Coturnix japonica: one gene and its partners. The protein of the gene in region 1 purifies or fractionates together with the protein of each later gene. This does not show direct contact. Links are inferred from orthologs where the notes say so. Each region holds a gene or a part of one and is shown in the gene's direction. Other genes may lie near its edges.

Region 1 (7,449 bases):
TCCTTAAGCTTTCTTCTCTCCTTGTTGTCTGAGCCCAAATACTGGGTTAGATAGATCTTAGATCTTCTGACCTGGGGATGTTGTTATTTTATTGGCTTTACTGTGAATTAGAATTCTAGTGGTTTCTAATTGCTGAGAAGTACTGGTTGAAATGCTGTATTGGTGATCTGATAGTAAGATGTGAGCATCAAATGTGTGTGCCATTAACATTCTTTTTGTATTGTAGTGCTGCAGAGCAGTTAAAGCTTGGGGAAGTATAGGGTCCTATATAATCACTTCTATCCAAAGAAGAATTATCAGTGCTCTATTGGATGGTTGTTATTAAACTTCTAACTTTGACATCGAATGTCAAGACTTCTTCCCTACTTTGGCAATTAGTCTTATATGCTGTGAACTCTTCTCTTTGCCACAAGGCTATAATGTCTCTTCAAAGGATTTACTTATGTCTAGTTCTTAGAGATGGAAATTAGCAAAATGGATAGCCTGCTTGAAGAAAAACATTTTTTGTTTTCCCGGAGATCGCATAGTTGTTGTTTGTTTCTTTCTTTCTTTTAGGAAGATGGGAAGTAGAAGAGCTGAAAGAAAACACAGTACCTGGAGACAAAGGATTAGTGCTAAAATCGGCTGCAAAGCATCACGCAATATCAGCTATGCTAACAAAGACATTTATTTTTGATAAAAATCCATTGATTGTTCAGTAAGTATTCCCTCAGATTCTGTGCTTGATATCTACTGTGCTTCAAGTCTTTAAGTCTATGAAGTCATGCAAATCCTTTTGCATATCACTGACTGACATAGCCAGAGCTGTAAGTACGAATGATAATTAGCAAGTAAAATTGTAGTTCAAGTGTAAGAAGTTATATTCAAACTCTAGAAATATTTTGGTGGTAAGTTACCATTTTATATTATATTTTAATTAATTTTTTGTTTTAAATGAAGGTTTAACTCGTGATTTGAGTACGCTGCTTTTACACTTGCAGAGTATTTTTGTGTAACTCAACTACAACAATTTGGATCCCTCTAGCTAAAAGTGCTGTATTGGCAGTTTCAAAGAGAGAATCAAATTCCTAGAACTCTTTCTGCCTCACTGTCATAGAATGACAGAAAGGCCTGGGTTGGAAGGACTCGGATGATCATCACATTCCAACCCCCTGCCGCAGGCAGGGCCACTAAACCTCCAGGTCAACACAAGTTTGAAACTTTTCTGTACTATAGAAACTAAACTATATATATAGACTATAGAAACTAAACTATATATATAGACTATAAAAACTATAGCAATTACTACTGTAAATATTTTTTGGCTGAGGTTGCTAATGTGTCTGTGTGGAAACTAAAAACCTTAAAGTCACATCGGGATATTTTGACAGTAGCACCTAATAAAAAAAATAAAGCAACTCATACATGATTTTAATGTGTTTGTAATTAGAACTGCAGATAGGAAGATTATTTATGTTTGATATGAGGAATGTGTCTTTTAATTTGCTCTTTGCCTAGATACGAAGTGAATTTTCAAGGCGGCATTGACTGTGGTGGTGCGTATATTAAACTTCTCTCCAGTACGGATGACTTGGATCTGGTATGCCCCTTTACATTTGCTATCAATTGTTCATTTGAGGAATTAGCATATTTAAAGTTAAATAAACATACAGATCCATCGCAGACAATACATCTGCCGTAGAATGTATCTCACAGGAAGATAACTTGCAGAAATCAAGTGGTCTTCCTTCAAGCGGTTGCTTAAAAACATAGCTTGGTACTGTGCATTCCAAGTAGATAAATTATATAGTTAAAGGAAAAAAAAAGAAAACAACAACTGAAATTTTGGACCAGCTGAATGCAGGATGCTCTGAAGAAAACAAGCTGTTATTTTAAGAATTGCTTATTATTATTTACTGTGGAGCAAGAAAGCAGTGCTAAAATGCTGGGTAATAATACCTTGTTTTTCATTTTTATTGAAATATAAATGGCTGTGAAGAACAGAAACTGTTTCTCTTCCATCTTTTAGTGTAACATGTACAGAAGAGTATGTGTGGCTGTTTTGATTTGTGGCAGGCATTTCAACTTAGTGTAAGGGTAAGGACTTAGTAAGCCCATTCATCTTGTCTGAGGAGGCTTCAGTGATCTCTGTAGTTAGGCTGTTTCAGCAACTCATAACATCTGTTAAATTCTTTTCATGATTTACCCTGCCAGTTTTCAGTGTTAGAATAGAGGCCACGTCAAACACCTCTTAGAAAAATGTAACTGTGTTGTATATATGCCACAATAGCTTGGAAATGCAGTACTCCAAATGACTTGATAAAATGTACAGTTTGACACATGCTTAACTTTTTTACTTCTACAGGAATTCTTTTTTGACAAAACGCCTTATACTATTATGTTTGGACCAGATAAATGTGGTGAAGATTACAAACTACACTTTATCATCAGGCATAAGAATCCTAAAACTGGAGAATATGATGAAAAACATGCAAAACGTCCCGATGTGGACCTAAAGAAGTTCTATCTGGACAAGAAGACACACCTATACACTCTTGGTATTGTTTAGTTTTTACAAGTTTAAACTAATTTTTTAAAATCTCTTCTAATTTAATTAATTAATTAATTAAAGATTAATTGATCTTTAATGTAAATTCCTTCAATGTAGTGCTGAAACCAGATGATACGTTTGAAATGCTGATCGACCAATCAGTCATCAGTAAGGGAAGTCTTCTGGAGGATATGATTCCTCCAATAAACCCTCCCAAAGAAATAGATGATCCTGCTGATAAGAAGCCTGAGGACTGGGATGAGAGACAAAAAATACCTGATCCCAACGCTGTCAAACCAGATGACTGGTAAGGAGAAAGCTTCATCTGTAGAAAACATTTTGTATGCAGGTTATTGCTTTATAATATTTGCTTGGCTTTATTTTGTTGTTTTTCTTGCTCTCAACAGTTGGGATATGTTTTACAAATACTAACAGTTGAAAAAATGTAACTGAAGTGGGAGTGTGAGGATCTGATCATCTTTTAAGGAAAGAAGTAAAATCTTGACTTTTCCTGATTTGAACTTTCTGTTGATGCAATTTGTAACTAAGATCACCGTAGTTGAAGGATTAGGAAGAGTGTTTTTCCACTACTAGTAGAGTCATAGAGTGGATTGGGTTGGAAGGGATGGAAAGACCATCTAGTTCCAACACCCCTGCTGTGGGCAGGGTTGCCACTGCTAGGTCAGATGTTGTACATATACTTCCTTCTTCCTGAAGTACTGTTCATATAGCAGCTTAAACAAAGGAAACATTTTAAGGAGAGACCTGATTGACGCACCTGCCAGTCCATGACAGCTATTTCTGGGCTAACAAGTGCCTTGAAATCTATAGTTTAAATGTTTATAAACGGAGAAGTAGGTACCTAATTCTCATTATAGGCACATCTAACTATGTTGTGCCCTTGAATATTATCCCCTCCATACCAGTTACAGTCCTCTGAACAGAACATTGGTTCAGAGTCGAGCTGATGTATTTCCTAACAGTAGTCTGTAATTGAAGGGATGAAGATGAGCCTTCTAAAATAGAAGATCTTGATGCTGTTAAGCCCGAAGGATGGCTTGATTATGAACCACAGTATGTTCCGGACCCCAATGCAAAAAAGCCGAAGGACTGGTAAGAATTTAATACACGTGGATCTGTTAATGTGCTTTGTAGCTAAGCTTGTTCTCTGGCACATTGAGTAAATTAGAATTTATCCCAGTCCCACTGTCTCTGCCATATTAAGTTGGAACATAACAAGTGTGGCTGAATATTTGTTGATTTGTGAGGCTACCTTTAGAAAAATATGCAAGTGTCAATAATTGCCTTGTATTCTGAAGAGCTGTAAACAGTAAGGAGCTATTTGAAAGAACCTACCATGGGGATAAGCAGCAAAGCAGTTGAAGCTGATGCTTGAAGTCATGTAGTAGTCCTAAAGCATGTTATATGGAAATGATGCAAGCTGCCTGCAGACGTAGGAGTATGATTGCATTTAACCATGCTCTAGTAGTTACGAATGTGTGGCCTTAAAGCATTCAGTCCTCTGGAAAATGTACATTGCAGTTAGATCAGCCCACTGAACTTTAGCCAAATTCTGAGGTTGTTACAGCAAAATACATACGGATCCCAAGTTATACTGAATGTTAGTGTTCTGATCAGACCAACCTGCAATTGGTTATTTGTACCTTTCTTTCTGTAGGGATGAAGAAATGGATGGGGAGTGGGAAGCTCCTCAGGTCCCCAATCCAAAGTGTGCAACTGCACCTGGTTGTGGACTGTGGGTGCGTCCCATGAAGAACAACCCCAAGTATAAAGGAAAATGGAAAGCACCTATGATAGTTAATCCTAATTATCAGGTACTAGCAATATTGTAGGTTATTATTTAAGAGATGTGGAGCTCAACCAAGCAGAAAAGTAAAATTAGTACATATGTCTGGCCCTTCATACTGAACCTGATATGGTCACTTACTACTATAACCCAATATGGAGGAAAAAGGTTTGAATTTAAGAGAAATCTGTCTGTCCTAAGCCAAAAATCTGAGACCTATCTGCCAAAATTCCATAGGTTGTTTCCAGGTCTGTTTTCCTGAAGTTCAGAGGCTTACCCTTTGCTTTTTAAATCATGTAGTTGAAATAATCAGAAAGTCTTAATTGCATTAAAATGTATTTTCCTGTTTTGTTGTGAGTGGGTTTTTTTATGTTTATTTTTGTGGTATAGATAATATTATTACATGTTTTTCTTTCCCCATAAAAGGGAATCTGGAGTCCTCGGAAAATACCTAACCCAGACTATTTTGAAGATCCTCACCCATTTGAGATGACACCTATCAGTGCTATTGGTTTAGAACTCTGGTCTATGACATCTGATATCTACTTTGATAACTTCATAATATGCTCAGAAAAAGAAGTCGCTGATCGTTGGGCAGCAGACGGTTGGGGCTTGAAGAAATTAGTAGCAAGTGCTAATGAGGTATCAATTTTATTATATTCTTGATAACCAGAAGTAGCAAGGAAGGAGTTCTGTTGGAATAATTTTCTGTAATATAATTATTCTGTGATTGATAATCTTACAGAATAGCTATGATATTTCCCTGATCAATACTGGACTGAAATTAAAAGGGTACAACATTTTACTCAAGTATCTTACAAGAAATGTAGCAACATTTCATTGTAGTTGATGCACCTTCCACTATTAATGGTGGTACTACAATTCAGTGCCTGTCAGCAGATGGAAGCTGATTTATTTGCAACCAGGCCTCTTTATATACTTAAAACTTGTCACTTTTGACTTAACTTCTTTTTATGTGCTTCTGATGTGCTCTCCTATCATAAAAAGTGGTTAATAGTCATGTATTTTTGTGTTTAGTAAATTATGTCTCTGTCTGCTTGGATCTTATGTTATGCAACTCTGACAATAACATGTGCGTGTTTATGGAGCTGCATCTGTTCTTCTGTTTGTGTGTATACATCCATGTTTTGTTTACTACAGTTGGCCAGTCACCAGTTTTTCTAGATCTCTTCCCTGTGTCATAGAATGAATTTGACCTAATAGATGGGAACGTGAGCCCCTCTAGTGGCTGCCTTTGCTGACTGCAGTTGAGAGGGAGTACTTCAGTTGGAATGAACCATTCAAAGATTATTCAGAGCGTGGCTATTTGACTTCTTTAGGGCCATACAGGATTTTAAGTGGCATTGTTGAAATTGTCTCTTGAATACTGACAGGCATAGGGCATCATTTTTATTTTTTTTTTAGGAAGCCTGTTCCACTTTCATGAGTGGTTTGTTCTGACAGCCCTGTATTTACTTTGGGGGATGAAGGCAGACCTGTGGGTATATGAAAGAAATGATGGATTGGCTGTGTAAGTATGGTCAGTCTCTGGCAGGTGCTATTTCTTGCAGAAAGGATGAGAAAGTAGCAACAGACTGTCCGTGCAATTTAGGAAAGCCCCCTTGTTTCACAGCCTTGCACATTTCAAATATTTGTTTCTATGTCTGGAGTTACATCTGTATTTGCACATACAACAGCAGAAGGTAATTCTGAAGTCCCTTTGCTACGCTGCCCCTGTAGCTTTCTACCTTGGTTGCTGATGTCCCCTTCCCAGAGTCTAACTGAACCAAGACTTGCCTACCTCCTACTACTCCATAAGTAAGAACTGGGCTGGAAGGCAGCTGACTGTCTGATTAATTGGCTATCAGAGGAAGCAAAGTGGCAGTACAGAGAGAGCAAGATGTTGTTCTTCAAGTGGCTGGCTGTTCCTCTGAGGTTCTTGATGCTTTGGGAACTATTGGTTGTGTTGGCACAGTATGGGGAAAGAGTAAAAAAGCTGGGGAGAATGGAAAACATGAGGTTGCTCAAACTTGAAGGATTTTCTTTGCGTGGTGTGAATATTAAAATATATACATTTTATAAGCTTATCTAAGTGTTGAAAGGGATATAAATGCAATTTTATTTATTTTTTTAACATAGCCTGGAATGTTTAGTCAACTGGTGACTGCTGCAGAAGACCATCCATGGCTCTGGGTTCTCTATATCTTGACTTTAGCTCTGCCTGTTGGTCTATGTGTGTTGTTCTGCTGGCCGGCAAAGGTTAGAGAAATTTTTAATGCATTTTTCTTCTTCTGTCTTTCTTAATACTTCATTTAAAACTCCTTGTATTTGTACAACAGTATGCTCTCTTACTGTGCCACTGATATTAGTTAGCTCCTAGTGATAGTTGTGTTTAATTCTTAATCTGAGTTTAAATAAATTGGTTTCTAATTTGTTTTAGAAAACAGATGAAGATTTCAACTTGAAAAAAACAGATGTGTCTATGCCATTTACAAAGGGAGAAGTAAAACAAAGAAGAGAAGAGTTAGAAGATGATGAAATAGATTTAGAAGAAAAAGACAACGAAGATATTGGTGAAGATGGTAAGATGAGTAAGTCACTTCATAGTTGGATAAATGTAAAAGCATGGAAAAAACTAAGTCATGGACTGTATTGCAATAATTGCAGCCAGTTATCTTAGAGTATACAAAATCTGCCGTGCTCTCAGCCTTCTTTATCTTTTCAGCAATTAGCATGCCATAGTGAGTATGTTTTGATAAATACTAGGAAAAAGCAGTATTCCATTCAGTATTTCTTCACTTTCAGTAAATTGCTTTAAGTCTTATGCATCCTTGTTCACAAACATATTTTCTCTCTACTAAATATCTCATATATTGGACACTTTTTGGGTGGTTCAGTTATCTGTACCCTCTAATGGTTACAATCATGCTGTCTTTAAAATGTGTCTGGAATAGCTCTAAGTCTTTAACATAACTGTTTACTTATACATCTGTGGGAGCACTGTACCCCAAACTACTCAAACCCACTGGTTTTAGTAACTGTTGAGGAAGTCTGAATATATACTGGATTTGTGGATACTGAAATCAGCTGCTTGTTTGATAGTGCTTTCTAG
Region 2 (8,208 bases), on another chromosome or scaffold:
TAACTTGATTTTACTCAAAGAAGGCCTCTTAATGAACTGCAAATACATGTTTAAGTCCTTTTCTTGATAATGTTGATTTCCCGAATCGGAATACAACCACAAATATGACACAGGCTACATGATCAATAATACTTTTCATTTGTATTGTTTCTCATTACAGGGAATAGACTTGTTAACATACATAAACAGTGAACGTTTTTGTTCTCTTCCGTGCTGCTGACTGAATCTAATTTGAAGAAACCTTGCAAGGACAGCTAACAGAGAGACATTGCCTGCAAGAAACACAGCCTAAAATGAACACTGACAGCCTTGAAGTGGAACAGACAGATGGAGTCATGTTTGTCAGAGTCCCACAAGCCTTTATTAAAAGCAGACAGGTCTGATGACTGTGCAGAAAGGAAATGTTAGGTATTAAACAGAGGCAGCACGCTCTGTGGTATGTGACTGCATTAGAAGGCCATAGACAAGGCTTCGTCTTTTCCAAGTGGAAAGGCATGTAGCGAAGAGCCCTTTGTGGCTGACCTCTCTCCCCACACAAAATTTACACAGATTCAAAGGAAAAGGTAATGACTTTATTTACTCAGCAAACATGCTGAGTAACAGTGAATCTCCCAACCAAAGTCCTATTCTTCCCACAGTGCTCAGCAGTCTGAGAGTTCAGCAGCATGCAGTACAGAAATTTTTGCCTCAGAACAGGCAACACGAAGCAGCTCTGTCTTGCTTTTTCCTATCTTGTCACCCAGATCCGAGGTGGTACGAGGCAGCTCACTGGAGATTCAGAGTCACTTCTCCCCTCAAAACATGGAGCATTTTCAGTAAGCAAGCAGCCTTGGAAACTGTTCATTCCACACGTGTGGAACGGAAACAGAGCCTGGAGAAGAATCAGGTTAGTCACAATGCCTGGAAGCCTAAAAAAAAATACCCACAAAGCAAAACAAAATAAAAAAACCTCAGTCCTCCCTACTTTGAAGATATAGTATTCTCCTCTAACTCGTAAGAAAGAACAAAATGTTCTCCTGTAAGCACACATTCTTAAGATGTAACTAGGTACCTTTATCAGTCACCTTCCTATCAATCTTAAAATGTATAATGCTGCCACATGGACAGTCCTAAATTTAGGACAATCCCTGTTCCTTGTGGATGCTGATACATGGTAAAACAACAGAGAAGCTCAGGAAAGGTTGTGTAGGGCCCACTGGTTCATGAGAAAGATTCTGGGGCTAAGGAAGCGTCTGCGTTCACCATGTCCAGCAGCAAGACCAGGATACAGCTGGGGACTGTTAATGCAAGTTCCTGCATTTCAAGTGAGTGAAGATAACAGTAACTACTGGGCCCCCTAGAGCAAATCTGGATGCCCGGCCCTATTCAGTGGGAGCACTAGAAGGCTAGAGTAACCATCATCCCTTCCAGCCTGGCAAATGATCATATCCTTCCTGTTTCTTGAGAAATACAGTCCCTACGTTGTGGACTTTTGCCCGAGGAAGAATTCAGTATTCAGCCAGGTATAATAGCAAGAAAAGCTATTCCTGGACAAGGGCAGGATCAGATCTTGCTGTCCCATAAGGGGAGAACAGCAGAAGACTGACCAGTTTCATGGGATCTTTGAGCAGATTAGGAGGCCTCATGGCAAAAAGAAAAATATTAAAAGGATCCCAAATTCATCTAGGCTTTGTTCACATACTAAGAATGCCAACAAAGGTCTTTATACAGTTCATGTTTGAGGTCAGTCAAGTTTTATTGGTAAGGATGGTGCTGATATTGATTTCCAGATGATTTCACAGAGAAGAGGAGACCCAGTACTTCCAGTCATTGTGAAAACTATGACAGCTGAGGGGAACCAACGAAGACTTGGTTTCAGTAATTCTCAAGTCTAGTAAGTGAGGGACATGAAACTCCTCGCTCTTCCTAGCTACACAAATTCCACTGGATTAACACCAATCCCTATAAAAAATTAACCCCAATGAAGTAAAGGAGGTTTAAGTTGTGCTGGTTTCCTTGACCCATATATCCTACATTTGGCAAGTCTATCTCAATAACTAATGACCATGTGTGAGGGTGAGGAGCACAGGACAAGAGCATGTTGCACTGTAATGGTGTAATTGACGGTCAGCTTCCCAATTACCTACACCACCTTATTAAATGATACTATGGCACAAGGGAAGCCAAGTAGATGAGGAAAACGTTACAGTGATCTGATTGCTGACTCCCTTGCAGCACTCTTGACGTACTGGTAGTCATTAAAACATGCCATATGGTTTCCTAAGCTAAAACGAAAACAGAGCAGACCTAGATTTTGGTAAGAACAATCTCAGAAAATAGGGTTCATAGTTCATGGGTCAGTACAGGAATGCCTGTCATGCCCTGTACATACACTACAGTGTAAGTGAATAAGAGCCAGTGGCATGCCAAGACCAGAGCAGCATGGTAGCACACATGGATTTGATGGAACTGTGCTGAGTCTGCTCCAGCTGTGAAAGACCATTGCACAGCCCCCACATCAAGATCCTTCTGGAACTTCCAGGCATAGCAATAGGCTCTTGTATTCCTGCTACATCTTTCCCAACCACCAGATCTCACACTGCCTGCGTGCACTGCAGACATGAAGCTACACCTCCACATTACAAGCAGCGATGGCTACTTGTCACCTTGCTTTTCATTGTCCACCCGTGCAAGGAACGTTCTTGGTCCCTGCTCCTTGCTGCCGTATCTGCTGGCCCTCCTGGAACGCTGCTGGTAAAGGAAGGAGTCAACTCGGCCATTCGGTCATTTTTGTGATGGCATTTTTGTCATGTTTCCAGAAGTCTCCAAAGTGGTTCTATCCTTTTTCTTTCCTTGACCACAAATTCAATGGAAATCTACGGGCTGATTTATAAGTGTTTGAATGCTTCTGTTAGACTACAGCTTTCCAAAACCTCCTCAAGCGCAATTACTTCCTCCTTCCGACGGAATATTTAAGCAATTAATGATCAGAAGTTATATAACTATGAATGGTTATGTATCACAGAATTGTAGGGGTTGGAAGGGACCTCTAGAGATCATCAAGTCCAACCCCCTGCCAAAGCAGGCTCCCTACACCACATCACACAGGTAGGCGTCCAGGCGGGTCTTAAATATCTCCAGAGAAGCAGATTCCACCACCTCCCTGGGCATGTATGTGACTGTGCATGTACCTACAAACCACATAACTGTGATACTTACAGCTATGGCTCATCACATTATTTGCTCAGCACTTTCAGAAGCGGGATGGAACTGAGGGTCGATGTCCCCTCAGGCCGGACCAGGAGCCATTGAGGGCCGGGCCAGGAGCCCTTCAGCCCCCACTCCCACAGCCGCCCCCGGCCCGTTCAGGCGCATCGCATCCCGCCCCGTGCCGTCCCTCAGGGGTGGCCCCGCCCCGCCCCGCTCTGGCGCCGTGGGTGCCGTGTGAAGCAGCGGCACCTTTTGCACGAGTCCCGCTGGCCGCGGGGCGGTTCCGCACTGGAGCAGCGGCCGCGCTCCGCCAATGGCGGCCGCCGTCACTCCGAGCCCCGCCCCCCCGCCCGCCGCCGGGCCGTGCCGCCGGGGAGGGGCCGGCCGTCGCGAGGGGGCTCGGGCCAATGGCGGGCGAGGCGGGGGGCGGCGGCCAATGGGGCGCGGGCTGGGGGGCGTGTCCGTGCCGGCTCGGGTTCCGTGTGGAAAGAGCGAGGGGGCTCGGGTGCAAAGTTTGCTCGCCCGGCGCCAGCGTTGGGAGCGGCGGCCGAGCGGCCGGGTCGGGCGGCGGAGAGACGGAGCGGCGTTGTCCGTCGGGGCTCCGCCGAGGGCCGCTCGCCGGCTCTCCTCGCACCCGGGCCGGGTCGGGCCGGCGGCCGCCGTCGCTCGGCCCGGCGCGACGTGCGGGGGGATGGCGGCCGAGGGGCCGGGCGGGCCGCGGTGGTGGCAGAACCGTCGGGCGCGGCTGCTGTGCATGTTGGCGCTCACGTTCCTGTTCTTCGTGGTGGAGGTGGCGGTGAGCCGCGTCACGGCGTCGCTGGCCATGCTGTCCGACTCGTTCCACATGCTCTCCGACGTCATGGCCCTGGTCGTGGCGCTGGTGGCCGTGCGCTTCGCACAGCGCACCCGCGCCACCAAGAAGAACACGTTCGGCTGGGTGCGGGCCGAGGTGATGGGCGCCCTGGTCAACGCCGTGTTCCTCACCGCGCTCTGCTTCACCATCCTGCTGGAGGCCATCGAGCGCTTCACCGAGCCCCACGAGATCCAGCAGCCGCTGGTGGTCATCGCCGTGGGGGTGGCGGGGCTCGTCATCAACCTGCTGGGGCTCTGCCTCTTCAACCACCACGGCGTCGGCGGACACGGCCATTCCCACGGCCACGGCCACGCGCACGGGGGCGGCTCCCGGCTCCCCCGGGGCAGCGGCAAGGCCGAGCAGAGCCCCGCCGACGGGGAGGCCGCGCTGCACCGCGACGAGACCAGCACCTTGGTGGAGAACTGCAGCGGCTCCAACGGGCTCAGCCAGGACAAGCTGGGTAAGACCTCGAGCGCCTCTCGCCCGTGCCGGGACAACGGGGCAGGTCCCGTCCCACGAGCTCGGTGGGGCCGCCCGTCCTTCCTTAGGGAAGCTGCTTAGCGGGGCGGGCGGCACCTCGGCATCAAAGCTTTTCAGCAGGCGCTATAAGGAGCGCCCTGGGTCGTGCCTTTCTCTTGCAGGCGGGTCAGGGGTGAAGCTTGGGGTGAAGCACTCTTTGCCTTGGGAGAAGTTGGTGCTGGCAGAGGAGGCGCGTGACAAGCGGTGTTTGCCTGTCACAAGGCAGCGCCCCATCAGCTGAACCGGCTGTGCATCAATGTGCAGCTCAGCGCCTTGGTCCTGACAGCCAGGGCTTTATGTTGCTTTAGGTGTCAGCTACCTGAGAGATTTTCTGCCGCTGGACGTAGCGTAGTGAAGTCTATTCCAGTAATGAGGTGCTTCTTTGAGGCGTGTGTAGGAAGAAATCTTGGAGACTGAGGAACTGAGGAAGTCCTGCAGTAGGCACTGAATGCAGAGCTATCTGGCTCCTGAGCACACGTGTGGTTTCAAGTTTGCTTTCTCTAGCTTTCCAAAGCGTGAAGATTCCCATTCGCTTGTCTGTTAAAATCTTCTCCCCCTAGTTCTCATTACACTGTCTTTTTTGAGGGAGGGAATGTCTTAGGTTGGTTTTTTAGTGGATCCAGAAGCCTGGGTGGCTTGTTTTGAAGTCACTTGGTGTGAGCTGAATGCTGCGTGGCAGTGGAAGCTGCATGTTTGCTGCTTCTCCACTTCACTTATACACAGGGAAGAAAAAGTGTCAGTCCTTGGACCCACACCTCTCCTTTTTTCTCAGTCCTCAGATCCAGGTATCTCCTTTTTTTCTCAGGGCAACATTAGGAGAGACTGCTGAATGAGCTTAGCTTGCTCTTTCCTCTACGGAGTGAACTTTGCTATGGTTTCAGTATTTCAGTGGTCAGAAGTTCCCATGGGCATCTGAGAAACTTGGAGTTCCTCTTTTTCTCCTTAGTTTCTTTAGTGTTTTGACTCCCTGTTGCTTTTGAGAAGATTGAAAGTTCCTCTGAGTATATTACACTCTTTTCTTAACCACAAAATAAAATAACCTCTTAAAGTCATGTTAGTCCCAACAAAAGTATTCTAGTAATTAGATTCAAACCGTGTAAGATTCATTTAGCTGTTGATCTAATTGATGCCTTGGCTTCTGAGTTGTTCTTGCCTGTCGAAATGTAAGTTGTGCTTTCAGCTCAATTCTTGTCTAGTTGTAGGCTAAAAGATTGGCTTCTCTTGTGGATTAAAACGTATGCTGTGGGTGTCCTGGCTGTAGCGAATAATTTGTTGTGGGCATTTAGCAAGTAACAAGGCATGATTTGGGGCATGGGGAAACTTTCAAGTAAGTTTGCCTTTCCTTCTCTGCCATGTCATGATTATGTAAGGGATGGAGTTATTCATTGTTGGCCCACGGAGGTGTCACAGGTGAAGGTGTGTGGAGACTTGTAAGAAGCTGTAAGTTGTGCAAGTGAAGATCAGGGCAATGTCTGAAGTTGGTGCTGTACCTCAGCAGGGAGCTGTGAAGAAGGGTAGGCTGCCTTCTCCTGAGGTTGAAGTGAAATCCCCACAACAGCCTCAGGGGTTAGTCCTGCACAGGCATCTTTGTGCATACATCTTGTGTAAAGTAATCTGTTTATAGTTAGTTTGAAATGAGTCAAAATTCAAATTGAGATATTTGAACTGTTAAAAAGATTCAGAGTTTTCTGGAACCTTGCTTCTTGCTATCCACCCCATCCACTGTCTCTCCAAATCTCCTTTGTCCCAAATGCTTGCTATGGAGATGGATCAAGTGTCCTGTTTCTGTGCCCTCATTGTGAACCCCAAAGCCTGAACTCTGTAACTCGAGATATTTTCCTCTAACTTACTCATTTCTCTGGAAAATTACTGATCTCAGTGACGTTTCCTTGTTCCGTGACTCCTAGAAACTCTGTGGAAGATGTAGATGGAGCTTTAGGACAGAAGCATGATGAGCTGAGGGCTTGGGCCTGACCTACCTCTCAGCCACCTCTGTGTGTGCCTGCCTCCTTCCTGGGAGAGGAAGGGCCTTGGAGACACTTTTATGATCACAGAATTACAGTCATGAGTGCAGAGGGACAAAAGCTGTAGGTCATATTAACACGTTAATGTTTACAAAGCTCTGAACTCAATAACCATTGAAGCAGGGAGAGCTGCTTCTTTTACTTTGTCAGGCCATTGGTCAATGCCTGTTGCATTTCTTTAGCACTGTAAGTTGTCTGTCCAAAGATCTGAAGAAGCATAAGAAGTTAATCATGTAAAATAATTCCGATTTGGAAGTTTGGAAAATGATTCCTTTCACATTGCCTCTTTATAATGGTGTGTGTGCTTGTTCCTACCTAGTTTGTTGGGTGTGATGGAGCCCATTTTTTGATGAGAGAGGGTACAAAAATGTTCTTTTATGAATTACATAATTCATAATGCACGGCTTTGGGCATCAACAGGACCCTCCTTTGGGCACTGGAACAGGCTGCCCAGGGAGGTGGTGGAGTCTCCTTCTCTGGAGATATTTAAGACCCGCCTGGACGCCTACCTGTGTGACATGGTGTAGGGAGCCTGCTTTGGCAGTGGGGTTGGACTTGATGATCTCTAGAGGTCCCTTCCAACCCCTACAATTCTGTGATTCTGTAATGGTTAAGCACCTGGAAAAGGTGGCAGTGGGTTTCTGTTAAAATAGAAGTGTAGTGGGCCAAGTTGCTTGTTTTCCAGTTTTGTGCTGCATGAGGCAGGGTTAATGTTGATAATTTTTATATATGGAATTGTAGCAATGTGTATTGTTACAGCATGTGCCTAATGGCTCTACTACTTTCTTGTCAGGTGATATGAAGGATGACACGACGGACCTACAAGTGAATGGGAACGCTAGTCATTATCCTTTGGATGTTGAAGAGGTTGAGGAAGACTCCAGCGCACAGCTGAACATGCGGGGAGTTTTTCTGCATGTATTTGGAGATGCCTTAGGTTCAGTAATTGTCGTAGTGAATGCCTTGCTCTTCTATGGTTTGTGGAATCCATGTCCCAAAGATGGGCCCTGCTTTAATCCATGTGTCAATAGCCATTGCGTGGAGAATGCTACTTTATCCCAACCTCTCGGCAGTGCAAACAAGTCTGAGCAAGAGAGCATTACAGTGGCTGGTCCATGCTGGTTACTATATTTAGATCCTGTTCTTTGTTTGATTATGGTTTGTATCCTCCTTTACACAACTTACCCGTTACTTAGGGAATCGGCCCTTATACTTCTACAGACTGTTCCCAAACAAATAGATGTTCATTCTTTGAACTCAAAATTGCGTACCCTTGAAGGAGTTGAAGCAGTGCATGAATTACACATTTGGCAGCTAGCGGGCAGTAGGATCATTGGCACAGCTCACATAAAGTGTCCTGACCCTTCCACGTACATGATGGTGGCAAAGCGCATCAAAGAGATCTTTCACGATGAAGGGATTCATGCAACTACCATTCAGCCCGAGTTTGCCAGCGTTGGCTCTGAATCAGGGAGAGGGAAATGCGAGTTTCCTTGCAGAACTCAGTGTGCTTTGAAGCAGTGTTGTGGAACAATAGAAGATAACGCTGGAAAGAAGACAGAAAAATCTTCTTCGCTTAGTATTTCTTGTTCAGAGGTTGTCATTGAATTTCCACATAACAAA
Region 3 (7,449 bases), on another chromosome or scaffold:
CACATGAGGCTAAATATGATCTAAGCTAAAATCCAATAGATGTGTATACTGTCCTCAATACCAATTTCACTTCAGACATGTTCTTGTTGCTGTGGTAAATAGACTACACTTGTGTTTGACGCAGCTGATGGACAGAACTGATTTGTTATCAGCCAGTTTGACTGACAGCAACCCAGGAAGAGCTTACTGAAGTAGGCAATATCCTGCATTATTTATTCTTCATAGGAGTAGGCAATTCCAGAGAAAATACGCTTTAAATAAAATAAATAAATAAATAAATTAAAAAGCTTACTAGGCTTTGAGGAAATGGTTTATGGAACAGCTGTTTCTGAAATCCATAGGCATTAAAATTCCTGATTATTTACAAATGCTGTGTTACCTCTGATGTTAAGTTGTACTGTTATCAGCAAAACAGACTGACTTCAGAAACTGATTTGTTGTTGCTTAGCTGTCAAGAGCAGCCCTTTTCAGTCTTAATGCAAATCTCAAATTTGGCATAAGTAATTTATATTACCTTGCTGTGATTAGTGTTGCATGCTGAAGTAGACATTATAGGAAAGTTCTTGCCAAGTAAAACTTCTTGCTTGTGCTGATAGAGTGCTCTGCTGGCCAGTATGCATTTTTAGGTTCCATTGGAAGAACTTGAGCTATTTTGTTTGAAAGTTAATATGTAGCTTTTTGAGTTATAAACTTCATTAATTGTTTTGCGAGGAAGGTATTGGTCTTCTTGCCAGGTGTAAGCACAGAAGCTTTAGTAGTAATCTTTTTGTAAGAGCACTTTGTGGACGATTGATCTTTGCTTAATTTAACATAGTCTTATAAGAATAGATGAGGTTACTTTTCACTGAAGATTGTGTTTCCGAGACCAGTATTTAGAATAAGATTTTCTAAACTATGTAAACTCTCAAGATAAGCGATATTATAACTGCTTCTCCCTACTCTTATTCACAATTTTAGGCCGCAGTGCTTAATTATGACAGGTCCCCCAAATGCACGTCCAGCTTTACTTCATCTTGTTCATGCTTTTACCAAAAATGTGGGTTTAATGATCTGTGGACATGTACATATGGTAAGTGTATTCTATCCTTAATGTTATATTATGTTGTTGTTTGTTCTTTTCCTTTAACAAAACTGTCTCTTTCCTTTTTTGAAAAATGGTGTAGTATCTTGAGGTGTTCAAATAGAGTAGGATTTATTCATGTATATGTCATCACCATCCCCACTTTGGTGTGCTGCAATTTGAGGGAATTATGAAAGTTGTTAAAGCAGGTATTATAGACATCTGTGCTAAATGCTTTTTAACATCTACTTGTAGTTAAAGGGATTTTGCAGTGGTAAAGATGGTGATGGCTATGCGTGAAATGTGGTGTAAGAGGGGGAAATTTTGCAAAATTATTTAAGCAGATATGTTCACTGCTATGCCAGTATTTCTTATACAGCCTAGCCTAAAGTAAGTCTTATTGAGTATCATTTTGTATCATTTGGCTGGTAATTTAGAGTTGATTTTAGCTTCTGACCAGCTTTCATCCTTCCAGTTAACTGATTTGTTCCACTGGCAAGGTGAAACAGCGGTTATTTCTAGTTATTATTAACAGTTATTTCCTCCCCTCTTTCTGTTTCTGACCAGTCCTGAGTATTTCACTAACTTTTCATTGTTACTGTAAGGATGTGAGAGTTCTGGGAATAGGGAGAAGGCTTGTTCTTCAGGGACATAATTTCAGCGCTTCTTGCTATTTTACAGAGGGGAAACAAAACAAAACATAATCACTTTAAGCACAAGAACAGAATGTGTGTATCATGCACTGAACAACAGTGACTGAGGGAGACAGAAGAAAGCAAACTTCAGAGAACTGTTCTTCAAAATCGTGTTGTGATGAATTGTCTTAAATCAAGGTGGTTGTTGCACTACCACCTGTCCCAGAACTGCAGTTAGCAGCAGTGTAGCTGTTGCATCTTTATTAAATGTTACTGTATGCTCTTCAGTGCACTTCAGAACCGTGAAGTTTTTGCTAGACATTTTAATGCCACTCTTTTGCAGGCGCAGTACTAAGAACACCTAAACAAATGCAACCTTTAAAGTGTGACTTTTAATACAAACCTTGATTACTCTTATATATGCTTCAACTTAACCACGTTTTCTAAATAAGGCTTCTGATCTTTTTTTTAAAAAGATTTTTTTTTTTTTTTAAAGTAAATCAGGTTAGTGGAATCCACAATTGTATGCTTTTAAGATGATATTGCCCAATTCTGTTTTCAGTAACGTAACTTCAGTATTTTGATGTCTAGGAGGAGCACAGTGATGTGTGCTGATGCAGGTCAGTAAAGAAAAAATTGAAGTAATGACTTTGCAATATGTTCTATCTATGGTCATAAGCAGAATTGCAGTCCTGTTTTTAGACACGTTTGATTTCAACTCTAGCAGTAAAGTAGCTTTAGGAAAAAAAAAAAGAAACAAACAAAAATGAAAACCACACCAAAAACAGGGCTTTACTTCTGCTCATAAGTCTTGTTCACTCTACTTCGTGTCTCCTTCTTTTGAAAGGGTCCTCGGAGGCAAGCCATGAAGGAGCTGTCAACTGATTTGGCCAAATACCAGCGATGGCTAATTAAAAACAAGATGAAGGCTTTCTATGCACCAGTACATGCAGAGGATTTGAGGGATGGGGGACAGTATTTAATGCAGGTGCACCTCTTTTTTTTTCTTAATGGAAATGGGGGCATTGTATGTCAAAAAGCAGAAAATACTTTGAAGTATTTTCATTATGTAAAGTTCTTAAAAATAACTTCTCAAATCTTTATTTTCTGCTTGAAATAAATAATCTTACCTTTATTTCAGTAATGCGATTTTAACAATATATTATGTTCTCCTTAGGCTGCTGGTTTGGGTAGAATGAGACCAAATACTCTTGTTGTTGGATTTAAGAAAAACTGGCGACAAAGTGACATGAGAGATGTTGAAACCTACATTAATTTGTTCCAGTAAGTAGAAAATGCAGAGAGGTTGCATTTGTTCCATTTCAGTACATTTCTTAAGATGTGAAAAAACTTCTACTTCAATGTCTTTTTTACATAAGCTCTCCTCCTGTCTTTCAGATCAACTTGTCTATACTGCTGTACAGAGAAGTTAGGTTTTTTTCCTGATAAAGAAATTATATGAGCAACTCTTTATTGCTTCAGCAGACCAGATTTCCACATAACTCCTGCATTCAGAAGGAGTTGTGGCAGTTGTCTGAGATTTAACTGTTCCTGTCTTAAGTGAAAGAAGCAGTGTCTTATATGTCTGCTGAATTCATCAGACTATTTTCTGTTCAAAGTGGGGGTTTTCTTACTACTTTTTCCCTGTGCAGACTGAGTGGAGGGAATGAATCAACTGTGGGGCTGAAGCTTGCCCTCTTTTAAGATATTTAGTGTAGATGGATTGCATTGATGCCAAAAGTAAAAAGTAGCTAAAAGGTAGAAGAGAGGAAATCTGACAGTACTTTGGTAGTACTGAAAGGCAGACCAGTTCTGTCTGAAAATAGTATTGACTGCTACTGCTAGCATTTTAGAAAAACAGAGCTTTTGCATTTATGTAGAGGGCTTTTTTCTTGGTTTCCTAACATAATGTTAAACCTGTTCCATCTGTGCTTTGCACTTATTTATTATGCCTTTGAAAGAATGATGGAAAGGGATTACAGGCAGATACTAGAAAAGGAAAAAGCACACCCACTCACACTTCCAGTTCCTAAAAAAAAAAAAAGAGTACAAAATAGATTGGGAAAATTGGCAGTGTGTTGGTTAGTACTTGGGTTTGCTTTTTTACTTTATTCATAGTTTACTTTGAAATGTCTTGTACTTGGAGAGCTCTTGTGACCTGCCCAGTCAAGTGATTCTCTGGGCATTCTTTTTGTCTTTCATTTCACTTAGCCTTTAATTCTGGCTATTACTCTGTTTTCTACAGTAATTAAGTTTGCTTTTCTAGCTTTTTGTCTTTAAAAGAGTGAGTTTCTTCCCCATCAGGTACAATAGAAATAAGTGTCTAGTAGCTGTTTTCGTTATAACTTAAAACTTCATAGATTCCTTTAATACCCAAATGTCTTGGAAGTTCATAACTATCAGTTCAGGAAGATCTCGAAAGAAATCCATTCTTTGATGTCTCACTTTCCAGCATCATTTATATTTTCCAGTTTATCTTGTCATCGTCTGTGTGGAACTTGAAGGACCTGTTACTCTTTTATCACTGTTCTATATAGGAGAGAGAGGAAAGATAACCTTTCTGTCTGTTCCTTTGGAATTAAAACTGAAATTGTAACAAATGTATGACTTGGGAATTTAAATAGCAACATTTAATCATTAATATTTGTCTACAGAGTGCATGTAAAGTAGATCTTCTGTGAAAGGGGTAAAATGTTTTGTCTTGTTTACTCTGTTTAGCGATGCCTTTGACATTCAATATGGTGTGGTTGTCATCCGCCTAAAGGAGGGCTTAGACATTTCTCACCTTCAGGGGCAAGGTAAGATTTTGTTTCCTGTCATTATCAGCTGTTACTCTCTTTTGAAACCATTTTCTGAAAATACTAAATGAAAATGGTTTATTTAAAAAAAAAAAAAAAGTGGAAAAAAGTCAAGACTCCCACACCACTCTTTTCATAGAATAAAAACCACTGGAATGAGTAAAGCTAAAATGTATAATAAAAATAACCCTTGTTGAGCAATAGAAATACTTTTCTGTGCATTTCAACTATCTGTGTTTGTAAGCTGTAACTTTCAAATACTTCAGTATTCTTTCTGAAATGCTTTGAAGATCAAAATTGGCATTGAGTTATTCTAGTTGTGGGCTGCCTGATCAGGTAGTATGGGTCATGTGTCTCTCACTCCTTCAGTGTACCCCGTTACTACATACTTTAGAGACCTCAACAGTAATCTGTTGGGTTTCAAGATGTGTCAGGTATTAGTACCCACTGAGGCAATGAGTTTGCTTTAACTCTGGCAGTTACCAAACAGCTTCACTGGAGCCTTGCCTGGAAAAAAACTGAGAAGCATTTTGTTTCGGGATCTTGTGTAAGGATCAACTTCCACTTGGAATTAGAATTTACAATCTTTTTTTGCATGGGAAATGCTTCATCAAATACTTTTTTTTAAATTTTTTTTTCCTTTCTGATTGTAAACAGAAGGAATCTCAATGTGAGATGTAACCAGTATTGTAACTCCATTAACATGATGGTAAAAATGCAGTGCTTTTGTGGTGTGTTTCAGATTTAACACATCTTGTCAACATTATGTTTACACTGTCTGGATTTCTGTGCTTGCTGGTAACAGATACCAAAATCCAGTACTTCTAAGAGGATTTTCCTCTTGTGGGAAACTTAACCACAATGTGAAATACTTCTAGCAGTTATACTACTCAGTTATATTTAGCTCCCACTTTCAAATTCTATTTAAGCTAGAGGTCCTGTCATTACATTGCTACACATCATGTTAATGGTAATGAGCACAAACATGACATTTGTCCTAATTCAGTGTTTGGTAGCTCTGCTTGATATTTAGCCTTCAGTAATGTATTCAAAGCTTAAAATTTTGGAAGTAGAAGGAGATTAAAGCTCTGTTCAGAGCAGGTGCATTTTTTTGTACTCAGAAGCTGTTCATTTGTGGTAGAGGTTTATTTTTGTTATTTTCCCCCTTTGCCATAGCATGATAGGGGCAGTGGGATTGAGCTGTTTAGCTAAATGAAAACCATCTAATTATAGTCACAGACCTCCATCTTATACTATTTGGGACAAGTCAGTGGTTTATAATGCATTTCTTTGCTTTCCCAAAGAAGAGTTACTGTCATCCCAAGAAAAATCTCCATGTTCCAAGGATGTGATAGTGAAGGTGGATTATAGCAAGAAGGCTGAAACAGACACTTCTGTAGCTTTTGTGCCATCGTCTAGTGAGAGAACTCCTGCTCCACATAGAGGTAACTAGCTAAAGTAGCTAACTGCTAGTTAGCAGTGAAATTTGAGTTCTCATTCTTTCTCTTGTTTCCTCTTCAGTCCCTCTCTCCTTCTGATGTTTTTGTTGTATTTGTGAAACAGAGAAACTGTCATTCTTTTTGGGGTGCTGATATCTAATAGCTCAAATATTTTGCTTACAAGTATGTATATCATATTTTTATGACCTAAATAAAAATGATGATGGCCTAAGGCCAGCACTACCTTTTTTTGTTTCTTAGTTAATGAGATTGAATGCCAATAAAAATTGCTTGGGAATTGGGCCTCACAGCTGTTTGTTAGCAGCATGATTAAGGCTGGTTAATTCATGATGGTGGTTTTCACCTCAGGCTTGAGTATATTTCTATCTGCATGTTAACTAACACAAATCATCTGGGATACTTGACATGACAATAACCAACTTTCTTCTTCTTTTGCAAGTAAAACTTTGGGCTGACTTAACTATTGAGAAATATGATTAAGTTACTATTGTGTTCAAATACAAATTATTCTCAGAACATGGTAGACCAAACTCGTGTGGTTTTCTTTGTATGAAAATCCATTTCATTTTCATTTTTCTTTTCTTTTCCTTTGTTTTTTTTTTATACACTTGTACTGTTTTCATTAACATCACAGAGGATATTAACCTTTTTATTTTGTATCTTTAAAAATCTCCAGAGGAGGACGAGGATGGAAAGACTCCAACACAACCCCTGTTGAAAAAAGGCAGGCATTTTTCACCTTTTTGTTAAATCATACTTTCACGTTGTTAATTTCAGTTTTCCTTTTGTACTCCATCCTACACGTATATTTGAAAGACAGAAAAATATCAGCTTTGCAAGCTCAATTTGTTTCTTCATATTTGCTTTGAAACTTGCTTCATCTGTGGGGATTAGGTGTGCTCAGGAGCCTCCTAAGTTATTCATGTCTTAGGTATTTGTCGGAGTCAACTTGATTTGGGTACAGTAGATGTATTAATTATGTAGTGGAAGTGCCTAGTTGGTCTATTCAGTCATCTTCTAAATCTGTATTTGTTGCTTTGAGTTGTTCAGTAGTTTGCAAAGCAAAGGATAGTGTAGCCAATCTGTGAGATTAACATCTGAAATAATGTGAAGTATTCATTCAGATTAGCAGCATTTTCAGAGGTGAATTTTCACCTAGTTTATTTCAGACTTTTTTGAGAATTAAGCACGGTTTAGTGGGGGAGGGGGGGGGGGGGAGGTTCTGTTTTTTTGGGGGTTTGGTTTTTTTTTTTGGCCTTACCTAAAAAGCATCTTGTCCTATTTGATGTTTGCTTCATAATTTCAACATCTAGAAACCCTTGTTTTTTAATAGCATAATGTGAGATTACGCCCTAAGCCACAAGATGGCAGTTTGGAGAAACTCCCAGTAAGCAGTAAAGTAGAATACTAGTAAGTCAGGTACAGATATGCTCTAAATTTCAGAATAACTCCCAGCTCTTGTTAAAACTAGAATCTTAGCTAAGGGGAGGGAGTTA
Region 4 (6,487 bases), on another chromosome or scaffold:
TTATGTTTTAATTTTGATACAGGAAATTTGCTCCTTCCAAACTGCGGTGGAAATGAAAGAGCTGGTGACTGGGAATTGAGTGTAACAGCTGGTGTGGTATGTAAAACACTGCTTCTGCCCTAAGATAGAAAAGCTTGAGCAATCATATATTAAAGGCTGATGAAGTGCTAATGTAATATTAGTTTACTGACAGCTCAGTTAGAGTGCCTTCCCTTTTTGCCTTTGTTATGTCCCATCATCTGGATGCCCATGTTGGAAGTTGCTAAGGTGCAGCTTTGATGCTGGTTTCTTGTCTTTCTCCTTTCCCGAACTGCCTGTGCTTCCCGGCAGGTGATGATACAAAGAACAGTAATTTGGTACAAGCTGTTGAATCCATCATTTTGTGTTTTGCAGGGTTCATCCAAAGTGACTGTAACCTTCACTAGAAATCTCCAGTTATGTTTGCCCAATGCCACCGACTGCTGCACAGCACCTCTCTGTGTGGTGGAAACAGTTCAGGTTTTAGCTTGCAGTGGTTCGGCGATGCTGGCACGTCTCATAATTCAAGCTGAAATATATGCCAACTCTTCCTTTATGGGAAATGTGTCAGGTAAGTACTTGGATATCCTGAGGAAGAAATGGTATTTACTTCCCCTTTCTGTACCAGAAAAAAGAAAAGTAAAATTGGGAATTGGACAGCAATGAGAGATTAAATTTCTCTAGCATTTAAGGATTTATATGCAGGTGGGATTGGCTGTAATGCATGTTGTCTGCTTCTTGGGATTCCAGTCTGTATGACCTGAATTTTCTCTTCTTTTCTTGTAATTCTCTTACAGAAATCATGTCTGTCATCCCTAACCAGGTGTTTCAGCCCTTGGGCTCATGTCCTTGTGACTTGACAGATGGAGCTTGTGATGTTCGTTGTTGCTGTGATCCGGTACTTATTTCATATTAAACTTTGATGAAATGGTTTTAGAATTTCTATGTTCCTTCTGTTGTCTGGAGGGAGAATTACTGAGTATTTCAAAGTAGAAATAGGGTCTGCCTGGGTTTTGTGGTATTTCTAATAGTAAATATGACATCTGTCTACAGGGCTGGCTTGGTTATCTGCAAATACAGCACTAGAGGCCGTGGTGGTGCAATTATGGCATTAAGGTGTTCTTTTCCCTTCCAGGAGTGTACACCAGACTTGAAGCAGTTATTCAATGGATCGTGTTTCACTGGAGTGTTTGGTGGGGATGTAAACCCACCTTTTGATCAGCTGTGCTCCACACAGACAACAGAATATACTCCTGATTGGTTTCCCTTCCTTTGCATACAGTCTTCTCTTAGCAATACACCATTTCTTGGCTATTTTTATGATGGCTCTGTGTAAGTCTGAAAATATTTCTTTCCTCAATACACAATTTAGACATTACATTGAAACTGTAGCATGTATTTTTTACAGTGAAAGTTATTTTGAAATTATAAATCGATCACTTTAAATGTAAATGGAGAAATATAATTGGTACTTTGAGAGCACGGGACTGGAAGGCAGATATTTAATTCACCATGTAATGTGAGGAGTAAAGAATTGTTTCATTTTTGAACTTATTTGCAGTTCTGCACCCAGAAGTTCTGCACCCAGAGTTCGTCCATTTAGGATCCCTGTACAGGCTTCTCCTGGGAAAGTGTTCACTGGTTACAGAGCAGGAGATCCAATTATGACAGAAGATGACGAGTATTTTACCATCCCTCAGGTAATTGCTCCATATTTAGGAGCTTCTGATTCCTCTTGGCTAGTTGAAGTTCTCCATTTATCACATTCTTTTGTGTTTGTAACCAGATTCTGTAACTTGCTCTTATGAACTGGTGGAATATATTTTTCACCAAGCACAAAATCATTGTTAATAACAATAATTATCTTTCCTCATCCCCTGCCCACCCCTCCCCTTCCTTGCCTTTAAGGCTCACATACGTTTCTGTTCAACTACCTGCAGCCGTCCCTGGCAGGGCAGTGTGCTGGAAATGCCCCTGTAGCGTTTCTGCAGGACTTTGACGTGAGGTGCCTTTCTGATGCAGCATCTTACAAGGAAGGACTGTCCCATGATGTGAAAATCAACAGTGGAACAGGAGGTATGTCGCATAGTCCTAACAGAAATGTAGTTATGTTCTTCAGAAGTAGAATTAACGAGAGGACTGTTGACGTGGCAGCTACATGGCTATAGTTCAGTGTTTAGGGATGTTATAGTCCTATTTCTGATCACCTGCCAAGCTTCTCTGTATTACCCAGGACTTGGGATAGGAGAAATAGTGGGATTAGCCTTTGTTTCCCATTTATCTGTTTCTGGTGACTCATATGGCTGCATGTGGCACAAGGAAGCATCTCTCATCATGTTTTTGTATTCTTGGAACCTCCTTTTTCTGTCAAGAGGGTGCAGTGTTGTCACTTTAGAATTAGAAGTGCTTACTCTCTGCATTACAAAAGCATAAATATAAGAAATGTCATTCTGGAGTTTGAGATGATGCAATTACCAACATGAAGAGAATTTATTTTATGCTGTTTAATTACGTTGTCTAATTTTATTTACACTACCTTAGTAAGAAGCAGAGATAATTAGCTATGCTCTAACACATAACCTGCCTGGTTTATTACCAAAACTGGCTTTCTAAATACTTTTCTGCACAGTTTCTATAACAAAAAGGAGTACTTTGGATGTGAATGTTGTATATGATTCTTTTATCAGGATTACTGCAGCATTTGTTTTTTATTCTCAGACTTCATCCAACAAAATGTGACCTACAAAACCGTCACTGACAGGGACAAATTCATCACTAAAAGTGGTATGTTTCTGCTGTGTAATTAGTGTGTTTCTTTCTTAACCTGGATGACACAAGTGACTGGGGTGCCTAAAACATTTACCTGTCGTGATTCCTAGGAAGGATCTTGTGTGTATTCTAATATTTGAACAAAGCAGGCAGGGCAGGCAGCCTGTAAGCAGTGCTGGATGTGCCTGAATTTTGAACACTCTTGTGCCTTTTTAAGGTTCTGGAGCCAATGAAGCAGCTTTTATTTTAGAACAGTGGCTCCCAGTCAGTGGGGAGGGTAATGCAGGATAGTGCTGAATCCATACTAGCATGTATTTCTGGAAGATGATGGCCCTCTCAGCAGGGTGAGATAAAAAGAGAGGGACTCCTGAGTCCAGAGGGCCCCAGCAGCTGATGGAGTAAGGCCTTGTGCTGGGTTCTTAAGGAAGGGGTCAACTACAACAGGAGCTAGAACTGCAGGTGTTAGAATATTGATAAACGAAGGGATTCTACTGTAAATGCAGCACACTGTCCTTGTATGATGGGACTTAAACAGTAAAAAAAAAATGTTAAAAGGATGAATGATTTATCTTCCAGAATTTTGTTAGAGATTTTTAAGTTGTTTTTCAGTTACAGCTTTCTAATTGGCAGTACTTTTGGTTATGGTATGTTTTTCTTTCTTCTGCAGAATTTCCTCCTACCGTGGGCATTCCATTGCAAAGTATAACCTTTGCAGAGCATTATACATTCGTGTGTGAAGGTGACAACATAGAGGGAGTGAATGTCACAGTCTTCCAAGGAAATCTATATGGTGGAGGTATTGTGACTTTTCTTGTACAGATTTACTATTTTTTTTATTTCTTAAGTGAGTAAATTATTTGATAGTTTATCTTAATTAGTAATATTGATCAAAAAGAGTTTTGGACTCTGGAAAGAAAATGTATGGGGCAAATTTCTGCCAATTGCTATTATCCTGAATCTTCTGGTGCTCATGTAGGACAGAAATTTGTATCCTAAATAAGCAGCATACTTCCTGCTAATTTATGTATGGGAACATAAAGTCATTCCTTTATCTTTTACCAGAAATGCTGACGCAGAGATTCACGGCTGAATTTGTAAGATTAAAGAGTGATAATGCAGCAGAAGTGCCCAATAATCCAGGTAGTAATACCTCAGTTTGCTTCATAGAAGAACAGATTTTGGTACTAGATTGGTCATTAGCAGTGACCACGTTTTGTACCTTGTTCATACTTGTTCTGCTGGTGCCCCTCCTTCCCTCTTATTGTGTTGTCAGCTGTAATTACAGTGATTGGCTTTTAGGCTCAGTATTGATCATTTAAAATGGGGCTGTTGTAATGGAAAGTCTGTCTGTTTGCTTTGAGACTAATTACGTGCATTATTAAATCGATGTTAATGCTTATAGATTCATTTAAAATGTTCACAACTCCTTCTGCATTTAGGTTATCAAGTTGGAAACGCAGTGAGAGCTGCAAATGTGAATGCTTCTGATACTGCTGGCAGCTTAAGCATTTGGCAGCCAGGTACTGATTTGTAAGGTTACACCCTCAGCTTTCATAAATGCTAAAATGCTGCCTTCATATACATGTTTTACTTCTGAATCTATTCTATGCCGAATTGTGCTTTTCTACGCTATTCTCTAGCCTTTATTCCAGCTTAATTGAAGAATTTGCATTTAATGAATGTAAAGTAGCTTCAGTATCCTCAAACATCTGAGTATGTTGTATGAAGTTAAGGTTTAAAACCGAGCAGTTGTTAAGCTCATGAGATTCTTGAGCGTGTGAATTTGCTCTGTGTTGGAAAATGGAATTTGAGTAGACTTGATTCTGTATTTGAATTACACTGCTTGCTGTTTTGCATCCTAATATGTGCAATTTTTGCACAAAAATGAGAAGTGGGAGTTGAAAGGTCGTTGTGAGGATCCCTAAATAGGATCTTTTCAATTCATAGCTGACAGAAGTCTGTGTACGTCAGCCACTCACACACCAGTTTTGTTCGGGGTAGATTCTTTCTCTGGGTGCCTATTGGAAGTTGATGTCAATGAAGACTGCAGCCATTTAAGGTGAGCCACACAGATTTATTGTTCACTTGCTACCAGTTTCTACCATCAGCACAGTTGCATTCTTTTCAGAAGTTCATGTATACGTCACAGGTTTCTGTGGTTGACCCTCTTCTGTTTTTTTAAAGGGAAATCTATTAAAATGGTTTCATTCAGATTTCCATGTATTTAAGTGAGGGTTACGTTGGGGTGGAGTGCTTCCCTTGGGCAGATGAGTCAGTAGTTGAGGTTTGTTTTAACTGAGTAATAGCATCTGTCAGAGGACACATTGTATGGCATAGTGATGCTGTAACGAAGTTCATGCTGTAGATTTGCTTTTTGTATGAGCTGATGTTTTTATTTGGCAGAGAAAATGTAATCGAGAAACTGAATTCGTTAATACAAGCTACTCATGTTGGGAAGAGACGCAATTCCAATGACAGCAATCCCAAAGACTGGGTGCAAATTATACGTAAGTGATACTTGTAGTTTTATTCACAGCCCACGTCGCTATAAAAAGATGCACTTAGGATTGGACCACCTCCAAATAAAGCCAACGTGTAATTTCAGATGCCTGAAGGTACCTGGGTCCATGCATCCAGATATGTACAGATGTGTTTAATAATATACTGATGCTGTAGAGTGATGTGTCTGTCAGTCTGTTGATGTAATGATTTGGTGTTTTACTCCTCTGTTGAACTCCATACTTCTTCATGTATATTTCGTATAGAAAACACATTTTGTGCAGCAGTTATCAACATTTCACTGCAATATGACAGTAATACAAATATGGAAGAGATCATTTTGCATAGGATTTCTGTTTCACTCTGTTCCTCCACAGGATTGGAACCGTCTAACCTGAATATCAGTGGGAGCCCTGGAGATCTGAAGGGCATTTGCCCAGATGTTCCTGCCAACCTGAACATTCGGATCATTTTTGCAGCTGTGGGTGCAGTGTGGGGGGTTCCCAGGGAGGAGATACTGGCCGTGCAGACCAGGTAGAGCCCAGCTGTCTCTGATAGAGAAATGTTTCAACTTTGCAACTCGCTTACGTGTCATACCCGGATAAATCTGACAAAGATGTTACTTATAGTTTGTAAATCCTCCTTTCATGGCCTTGTTTAAGCTTTAAATTCCCACATACAGCCCTCTAGTAACGCTTACACACGTGCTTCCAGTTACTCCACAGTCACGTGGCAGTTCCAGTGCGGCCTTCCCTGTGCAAACCCTGGCAGCCTGCTGCCCATCACGGCTGCTGTGGAGTTCATCCGAGTGCCGGCTCAGCCCCCGGTTCCCATGAGCAGGTAACGTGTGAGATCTTTGACCCTTGATGTTAAGTTAAGCAGATAAAATACTAATTCACACTCATTAAAGGCTTATCAAAGGCTTCTACTTGTTTTGCTCCTGCCGTAGTTTAATAAGCACTTTTTTCCCCCTCAGATTTCAGATGAATTACACAGAATTTGACTGTGCTCGCAATGACATTTGCTGGCCGCAGTTGTTGTACCCGCTGACACGGTTCTACACAGGTAAAAACAACCAGCAACGTGGAATGCCACAAACAGCCTCTATTTTGTGGTAACATCATGAAATTTGGCCAATTTTGGTGAAGCAGTGATCTGTAGTGGGAGATCTAAACATGGTCCAGAAGCAGTGGTTATGTTT

The links.
Region 2: the proteins of CLGN (region 1) and SLC30A1 purify together in Homo sapiens (co-immunoprecipitation; 3 studies listed by BioGRID and IntAct, with this or other methods). This does not show direct contact. The link is inferred for Coturnix japonica from reciprocal best matches to the Homo sapiens genes CLGN and SLC30A1.
Region 3: the proteins of CLGN (region 1) and SLC12A2 purify together in Homo sapiens (co-immunoprecipitation; 3 studies listed by BioGRID and IntAct, with this or other methods). This does not show direct contact. The link is inferred for Coturnix japonica from reciprocal best matches to the Homo sapiens genes CLGN and SLC12A2.
Region 4: the proteins of CLGN (region 1) and TCTN2 purify together in Homo sapiens (affinity purification with mass spectrometry; 3 studies listed by BioGRID and IntAct, with this or other methods). This does not show direct contact. The link is inferred for Coturnix japonica from reciprocal best matches to the Homo sapiens genes CLGN and TCTN2.

Annotation. Positions count from the first base shown.
Region 1 is NC_029519.1:26,012,729-26,020,177, reverse strand, and holds part of CLGN (calmegin), read left to right. Parts: intron 1-555; coding exon 556-697; intron 698-1,497; coding exon 1,498-1,579; intron 1,580-2,344; coding exon 2,345-2,537; intron 2,538-2,647; coding exon 2,648-2,837; intron 2,838-3,529; coding exon 3,530-3,643; intron 3,644-4,208; coding exon 4,209-4,365; intron 4,366-4,763; coding exon 4,764-4,979; intron 4,980-6,476; coding exon 6,477-6,596; intron 6,597-6,777; coding exon 6,778-6,928; intron 6,929-7,449. UniProt on the Homo sapiens protein: Functions during spermatogenesis as a chaperone for a range of client proteins that are important for sperm adhesion onto the egg zona pellucida and for subsequent penetration of the zona pellucida.
Region 2 is NC_029518.1:19,573,255-19,581,462, forward strand, and holds the start of SLC30A1 (zinc transporter 1), read left to right. Parts: upstream 1-3,854; 5' UTR 3,855-3,880; coding exon 3,881-4,502; intron 4,503-7,378; coding exon 7,379-8,208. UniProt on the Homo sapiens protein: Zinc ion:proton antiporter that could function at the plasma membrane mediating zinc efflux from cells against its electrochemical gradient protecting them from intracellular zinc accumulation and toxicity.
Region 3 is NC_029547.1:50,493,601-50,501,049, forward strand, and holds part of SLC12A2 (solute carrier family 12 member 2), read left to right. Parts: intron 1-957; coding exon 958-1,069; intron 1,070-2,542; coding exon 2,543-2,683; intron 2,684-2,872; coding exon 2,873-2,979; intron 2,980-4,413; coding exon 4,414-4,493; intron 4,494-5,797; coding exon 5,798-5,938; intron 5,939-6,629; coding exon 6,630-6,677; intron 6,678-7,449. UniProt on the Homo sapiens protein: Cation-chloride cotransporter which mediates the electroneutral transport of chloride, potassium and/or sodium ions across the membrane. Plays a vital role in the regulation of ionic balance and cell volume.
Region 4 is NC_029530.1:4,194,300-4,200,786, reverse strand, and holds part of TCTN2 (tectonic-2), read left to right. Parts: intron 1-22; coding exon 23-96; intron 97-393; coding exon 394-589; intron 590-815; coding exon 816-916; intron 917-1,153; coding exon 1,154-1,350; intron 1,351-1,579; coding exon 1,580-1,718; intron 1,719-1,958; coding exon 1,959-2,094; intron 2,095-2,736; coding exon 2,737-2,802; intron 2,803-3,454; coding exon 3,455-3,583; intron 3,584-3,849; coding exon 3,850-3,927; intron 3,928-4,226; coding exon 4,227-4,307; intron 4,308-4,734; coding exon 4,735-4,846; intron 4,847-5,190; coding exon 5,191-5,294; intron 5,295-5,663; coding exon 5,664-5,820; intron 5,821-6,000; coding exon 6,001-6,126; intron 6,127-6,262; coding exon 6,263-6,351; intron 6,352-6,487.